2 linked regions of the Arabidopsis thaliana genome follow. The protein of the gene in region 1 interacts with the protein of each later gene in a biochemical or structural test. Each region holds a gene or a part of one and is shown in the gene's direction. Other genes may lie near its edges.

Region 1 (3,932 bases):
CCATATACAATTGAAATTTCACCAAAATCATTTTGATAAGACCATTTACTTATGAATAATATGAACACAGAAAAACACTTTTATAAGAAACACATAATCTGGTCTAATTATTGTCAATGGTTAAGGACCCTTCGTTTCGTAGTACTTGACTCTTTAGCTGTTGAGCATGAAACTGACAAGTACAAGTGTAAGTGCATATAACAAGTATTGTTCTTGAAAACTTGAGTGATTCCAATTGGTTTTTTTCCTATTTTTGCATTAGAAATTATCTAATAATAAAACCATATAAAATACCATTTGTGTTATATTCTTAGTTCGGAAACACAAAGCAATTATGTTTAATATATTATACATTCGAACCACATAAGAGAATTAGAGATACATTGGACACTGGAGTAAAATATATATTTTTGGCAAAATAAAAGTGAAAAATTCGATGTGAACCAAAATATTCTGAATGTGCATCAATAAATGCCTTTGGACAGTGACACGTGCGTCGCAGTCTCGAGCCAGTCTCGAGCCCGACGTTAAAAACCAATTCTTCATGGAAGCACACAAATATTTATTTACACAATTCTGAAATATTACTTAAAGACATGTGATGTGATACAGTATAATATATGAACGCAACATATCCCTAAAAATGGAATGTATTTGGTTAGCCCAAAGTGGGTTTGTATCGACATATCGTGTGAGATGAGTTAAACTTTTTTGATATACTATAACATGAGTCGGAGAAAAAAAAGTACGTAAGATGATTCATATTTTGGAATAATATATGGGTTGAAACATTATGTGATGACTGACGTACGAGTGACGACATACTAGTATGCTATTTGCAAATATTTGCTTTATTTTCACTCACTGCATCTGGATGGAACTCAATTTACAAAACCCATGTAAATTTGTATATAATTTTCTTTGACATGTACTATTTTAATATTTTTGTTACTATTTTTATCTTTCTACAACTAATACATAACATTAGATCTATAAATTTGTTAAACTTTGCTTTATACAGTATACAAAAACGAATTTTGACATTGTTTCCCTATCAAGAAAATAGTCTTAATTAGAAAGTCGTTATTGGTCGGAAGTGTAAAGAAGTTCCCAAGTTGACAATAATTTGCTTACTGAGCTACCGAGGTTAGGGATAATCGTCCAGGTCTTATTGTGAAACATTATTTAGTTTTCAAAAATTATTTAATAATTACTCTTACTAGAATCATGTTCTTACTTTACATACCAAGTATTGATAGTTCACTTAGTTTCAAAGATTTCCTTGGAAGGAAGGTTGAGTATTTTTCCCCAAATTTGAGTCTTTACGTGGAAGAAATTAAATTGTTTAGGCTTTGAAAATACAATCAAAAAGTGGTTCTAAAGCTCAAAGCTTGTTTGTTACAAAAGAAAAAATTAATATTCTTAATTACTTTACTTTTATTTGAGAGTCATATGTTTGGCCTATCTTACATTAAATCCAAATAGGTCATTACCCATGATGGCAACATGTTTTAATTCATGATGTTTCTTTTTTCCTATTTCGGTTAAGTTTTGTACTAAAACCTCAACCATATCTAAGCAAACAAAAATATCATGGTTGGCGTAGGCCGAGTAAAAGCGTGCATCTTTTGCCACGGTTAACTCATAGTGTACTGACTAAATCGGACTCCCGCATATGCCCAACAAAGAAGTTATACAATTTGTGTCATGACCAATATTCATTGTATGATTAAGGTTACTGAATTTGGCCAAGAACCCCATATATTTTATCGCATGCAAGAAGTGAAGCTTCTGCCTTTGAAGCCCATGTGTCCACTTTGTCACCTCGAGAGTGTCTTTTCTTCACCATAGCATGAAACATTATGTAAGTTAGATGTTTCTTGAAAATGTAAATTAAAACAATATAGGCTATATTTGCATCAAGGATGTATGCTTATTCCTAGTTATATTGTCTTATCAGATGTAGTGTCATGAACCTTATTTATATGATTAAAACATACATTATACTTCAGTATAATTCGATTAATAGAGGGCAAATTGATCGAAAAAGAAAATAAAAGGGCAAATATTGATATTCTAATAGTTTAGTGGCAGAATTGAAAAAGGAGAAAGAAAGAAGGGTAAAAGAGAGAGAAAAGAACAGAACAAGGAAAGTACAAAATAGTCCAAACAGTGCACTTGTCTTCCCTTGTCCGAAGGCAACTGTTTGATATTTTTCTCTAACAGGTAATAAAACTCATATCTCTAGCCTCTCTCCCCATTTCCCATTTTCTGCTAATTTTCTTTCACTTTCTCGGCTGATTTTCCTGGGAAAATACTCTTTATCTAAACGTCCTAAAACACTACTCAAAAACGAATGTTTTTTTTATGTTATAACTTATATTTGTGTGACTATTTTGATATAACTATTATTGCAGATCTGTGGATCTTAACACTTCTCTAATGCTTATAATGACGAGATCTAAGCATGAGAAGGAAGAGATAAGAAGCTCATGACAAGAATCTGAAGAAAATTAAATTTGTTTTTCACTTATCGCCGCCATTGTTGTTCTACACTGAGCTTAGACAGTTGACACCTGTAATCCAAAGTGAGTTTTCTCTTAGCTTGTTGGTGATTTTTGAGGCAAACCCTTTATTTATATTTTAAAATCTCTGCTTTATTTAATGTATCAAGATTCTTATTTTGCAAACTGCCATGTAATTTAGGGCAAAGCTTCTAGCAAGAACAAAATCATTAGTCTTGTTCATCTTCTTCACTTAAAAATCTCTCCTTTAATTTCTGGGTATTTATTATTTTCACCAAAGCTCATAATCTTTAATAAATTCCTATAGGTTTCATAGGTTTTATATAATTAATTTAGGGTTTCTGAAAAAGGCTCTTAAGCTATAGGTCTATGAACATGAATAGATTTGGCAGATCTACAAATTTTTATTATTTTTAGCCTTTGAGCAGTGACTTTAATTTCTTCTTACTTTAATTTTTGCAGATTCAAAAGTTTATCACTGCAACATACTCAGGCTTTTTACTTAATTATCATAGCTCTGATAAAGTATGAGAGTAGCGTTACAATGGAGGTTGACGAAGACATTGAGTTACAAAAACATCAAGAACAACAAAGCAGAAAGCTACAAAGATTCTCAGAGGACAACACTGGACTAATGAGGAATTGGAACAATCCATCGTCTCGTATCATTAGGGTTTCACGAGCTTCTGGTGGCAAAGATAGACATAGCAAAGTGTTAACATCAAAAGGTTTAAGAGATCGAAGAATACGTCTCTCAGTTGCTACAGCAATCCAGTTCTATGATCTTCAAGATCGTCTTGGATTTGATCAGCCAAGTAAAGCTGTTGAATGGTTAATCAATGCAGCTTCTGATTCAATCACTGATCTTCCTTTGCTTAACACAAATTTTGATCATCTTGATCAGAATCAGAATCAGACCAAATCTGCTTGTAGTAGTGGAACATCTGAGAGTTCGCTGTTGTCGTTATCAAGAACAGAGATTCGTGGGAAAGCAAGAGAGAGAGCTAGAGAAAGAACAGCTAAAGACAGAGATAAAGATTTGCAGAATGCTCATAGCTCATTCACTCAGCTTCTCACTGGTGGTTTTGACCAACAACCGAGTAACCGGAATTGGACCGGTGGTTCTGATTGCTTTAACCCGGTTCAGCTGCAAATACCAAACTCTTCCTCTCAAGAGCCAATGAATCACCCATTCTCCTTTGTACCTGATTACAACTTTGGAATCTCTTCTTCTTCTTCTGCCATTAATGGTGGTTACAGTAGTAGGGGGACCCTTCAGTCCAATTCACAATCTCTCTTTCTGAATAACAACAACAACATTACTCAAAGGTCATCGATTTCTTCGTCTTCTTCTTCCTCTTCTCCAATGGATAGTCAAAGCATTTCCTTTTTCATGGCTACACCTCC
Region 2 (3,932 bases), on another chromosome or scaffold:
CAAAAACACGTAAAACAATCTTTGATATATTTGCAGATCTAAATTGAATATGTGATCATTAAAATCAAGATATCTGAATCCAAAACAGTTTTTCGATAAATTAAAAATTTTACCATCCGAAAACTAGATTATATTTATAAAAAAATATTCAATTTGCGCTGCAATTGGACTGGATATCAAAAGAAAATTTTCAATTTCACCATATGTGTATGATTTTTTTTTTTTTTTTTTAGCGTTTTTAACTTTTTTTTTGTGTTTTAAAGATTACTCAAATTTGCGCTCCAAGTGGAACGAGGGCGCTCCAAGTGGAACGAGGGAACAAATTTAATTTTGCCTCCTAAATGAAAACCAAATTTTAAAGAAGCTACAAATACGCTAGAATTCAGGAATCACCATATGTAATCTCCTGGGTTAACCAAAGCATGTAGCAAACTCTTCTTATATTAATAAGATATTTGGCCGTAAAGAAAAAAAGATATATTGACCTTTGGTTAGATTAAATGGGCTTATGGTTTGATCTAAAGTTTGCGGTAATCACAAATAACTTTAATAATAACACGTTGGATTTTAATAAACAATTTTTCTCCATCGTAGATTTCTAAGTTTCTAATATAGATCTTTTGGATTCACCATTGAATAAGAACACATATTCAGACAAATCAAACCAAAAACCAATTAGACTGTTTTTTCATATGTGCCTCTTTTGAACCTTTTTTCTTAAATGAACAAGTCTAGGCTATACATCCCCTAACCAGGGACCATAAAATTTTATTTCAATTAGACTATTTATCTTGTTGAGCTTTCATTTTTGAACATTGATTTTATATATTTAGTGTTAGAAGAGTTACTAATGTTCTCTTATGTTTTTGTATCATTGGATAATATCAATATTATGAAAGATGACGTGATTGAATGTGTACAAATTGTACTAATGAGTATTGCCTAAGTAAACTTTTTTTTTATTGTCGATGTAAGTATTTTTTATATTGACAGATAAACAACAAATTAAATATCAAAATAATAAAAAATGTTAGAAAAGAGTTTATAGAAAAACTTATACCAATAAGTCAACCTAGCGTTACTAGATTCAAGCTCATTAGCAACATAAAGAATGGGAGCAATCTCAACAACAAGCGAAAAAGAAACAAGTCCACTTTTGAGGTAAAAGAATTTCATAATAATCCATGAAAATAACAATTGAATACATCATAGTTTTCAAATATTTCGCAAATTTGAAATTTCAGAGCAAATTTGAAACACACAGCAACAACAAAAAAAAGATTTTGGTTCTCATATTTGATTTTGACATTACATCGAGGTTAGTTAGACTTCTTTTAGACTAACAATGATAAATAACTTGTGAATTAAATGCAAGATCAACAGTTAGATGAACTAGAAATTTGGCATGAAACCATCAAAAAGAGATACTTAACTATATCAATAAAACGTGTTGATTACGTTATCATCTAGTTTATATGAATTCTATTAATAAATTAACAAAACATGGAAATTTTTTTTTTGATATATTTGTAGATCTATATTGAATATGTGATCATTAAAATCAAGATATCCCAATCCAAAACAATTTTTGGATGAATTAAAAAGTTAATTATCCAAAAGTTAGATTATATTTTTTAGAAAATATATTAAAATTTGTGCTAGGACAATATATCAAAAATAAAATTTTAATTTCACCATATGTGTAGGATTTTTATTTTTAGTTTAGCCTTTTTATTAGTGTTTTAATGAGAAAATAATTTAAAAATCTTTTTGACCAAAAATAACAAAAAAAATGGAAGAAAATAATAAATTCCCTCTGAGTGGAAGGAGGGAAATTTGGCTCCCAAATGAAAAACTAAATTTCAAAACCCCGCCAAATAGGCTTTGGTATTATAAAGAAAACGCTCTCTCCACTCCTGATGATAATCTCAAAATCGTTCAAAGCACCGCTCAAATTCTCCGTCAAATCTTCTACTGCGCCGGTGATATCAAACCATCCGCCAATGGAGAACCATCCCAAGCGCCAGCGAACAACACGCCTCGCCGCCAGAAACTTGAAGCGAAAACTCAGTCACAACACAGATGGAGCGCCAATCGTCACACAACTTATTGATATTGACGACGAACCCATAGATCTCGTCGTCGCGATTCGCCGTCACGTCGAGGTTCTTAACTCCAGCTTCTCAGATCCTGATTTTGATCACGAAGCTGTCAAAGAAGCTGCTGCTGATATCGCCGATTTGGCTAAAATCGGTACCGTACTTCTTCATTTTACCTCTAATCGGCGGCTAAAACTGAAAACGTGTTACTCTCTTTGCTTGTTCGTCCTTGAGTTGCTCAATTTTGAGTCAATTCTCGACAACGGATTCACTCTAATTTTGGATTCTACATAGAAATTGTTTTGTTCTTGCCCATAGTACTTTGATTTTCAGTAAGGCGAGACCTAGAAGTGTTTTTTTTTGGCTTAATTGATTTTCTCATCTGTTTATATAGATGAAAATGTTGAAATCATCGTGGAAAATGGAGCGATCCCTGCTTTGGTGAGATATCTGGAATCCCCTTTGGTAGTTTGTGGCAATGTTCCCAAATCTTGCGAGCACAAGCTAGAGAAAGATTGTGCTCTTGCTCTTGGACTTATTGCTGCGATTCAGGTAACCCTTCTTTCGCTGTTTTTGATGAAATTGTGGATGAGATGTTGTGTAATTTCAATCTCTGTTGGAAGTTAACATTAGAATTTTTGAAATGGGCGATTTGCAACTATCTTAGATGTACTTAGCTTGGATTGATGTATATTGATATTAGCTTTCTCTGTTAAATAGCCTGGTTACCAGCAGCTTATTGTGGATGCTGGAGCCATAGTTCCCACCGTGAAGTTGTTGAAGAGACGTGGGGAATGTGGTGAATGCATGTTTGCTAATGCTGTTATTAGGAGAGCCGCTGATATAATTACTAACATTGCTCATGACAATCCAAGGATTAAAACAAATATAAGGTACTAATATCTCATGATCCTTACTGGTTATGGTGATGACTAGCTGTTTTCACTTGACACCTTTTAAAAATGCTTTACAGGGTTGAAGGTGGCATTGCACCACTTGTTGAGCTTCTCAATTTTCCGGATGTTAAAGTACAGAGGGCTGCGGCAGGGGCCTTGCGAACAGTTTCATTTAGAAACGACGAGAACAAGAGTCAAGTATGTTTTTACTATGATTATGTTTTGTTTAGGCTTATGAAAGGCATGATTCTCACATAATGCGCAACTATGTAGATTGTGGAGTTGAATGCTTTACCCACACTTGTATTGATGCTTCAATCACAAGATTCTACCGTTCACGGGGAAGCGGTTAGTTCTTCATCTTGCTTTAGATCGTTGCAATTGGTTTGATTTGTTCAGTTCTTTCTAATGTACTATGGACTTTCAGATTGGGGCAATTGGAAATCTTGTCCACTCATCTCCTGACATCAAGAAAGAGGTTATCCGTGCTGGTGCCTTACAACCAGTAATTGGTCTACTTAGGTATGCTTATTTTACTTTCTTTCTACTTCTGCTGGAACAGATGCTAGCTCTTGAAATTTTGAATTATGTTTTGTAACTGTTTTTCATGATATCTGCTACAGCTCCACTTGTTTGGAAACACAGAGAGAAGCAGCATTATTAATAGGTCAATTTGCTGCGCCTGATTCAGATTGCAAGGTATGGGATTGTCTCTTTCTTGTTGTACTATAATATTAGCACATGTTATGTTCACTCAAACTCGTTTTTTTCTACGATATAACTGAATGGATTCTAACTAGAGAGAACATATTTAACATAACTGGCAACATGATCATGCAGGTGCACATTGCCCAGAGAGGTGCCATTACACCACTGATTAAGATGCTTGAATCATCAGATGAGCAGGTCGTGGAAATGTCAGCTTTTGCTCTTGGTC

What was found.
Region 2: the proteins of TCP24 (region 1) and ABAP1 form a complex in vitro, tested with the Arabidopsis thaliana proteins (one study listed by BioGRID).

Annotation. Positions count from the first base shown.
Region 1 is NC_003070.9:10,628,866-10,632,797, reverse strand, and holds the start of TCP24 (TEOSINTE BRANCHED 1, cycloidea, and PCF family 24), read left to right. Parts: upstream 1-2,167; 5' UTR 2,168-2,226; intron 2,227-2,231; exon of another isoform or gene 2,232-2,417; 5' UTR 2,418-2,588; intron 2,589-2,987; 5' UTR 2,988-3,069; coding exon 3,070-3,932. UniProt on the Arabidopsis thaliana protein: Plays a pivotal role in the control of morphogenesis of shoot organs by negatively regulating the expression of boundary-specific genes such as CUC genes, probably through the induction of miRNA (e.g. miR164).
Region 2 is NC_003076.8:4,141,039-4,144,970, forward strand, and holds the start of ABAP1 (ARMADILLO BTB protein 1), read left to right. Parts: upstream 1-1,871; 5' UTR 1,872-1,919; coding exon 1,920-2,253; intron 2,254-2,493; coding exon 2,494-2,651; intron 2,652-2,819; coding exon 2,820-2,992; intron 2,993-3,072; coding exon 3,073-3,193; intron 3,194-3,268; coding exon 3,269-3,343; intron 3,344-3,422; coding exon 3,423-3,517; intron 3,518-3,618; coding exon 3,619-3,694; intron 3,695-3,835; coding exon 3,836-3,932. UniProt on the Arabidopsis thaliana protein: May act as a substrate-specific adapter of an E3 ubiquitin-protein ligase complex (CUL3-RBX1-BTB) which mediates the ubiquitination and subsequent proteasomal degradation of target proteins.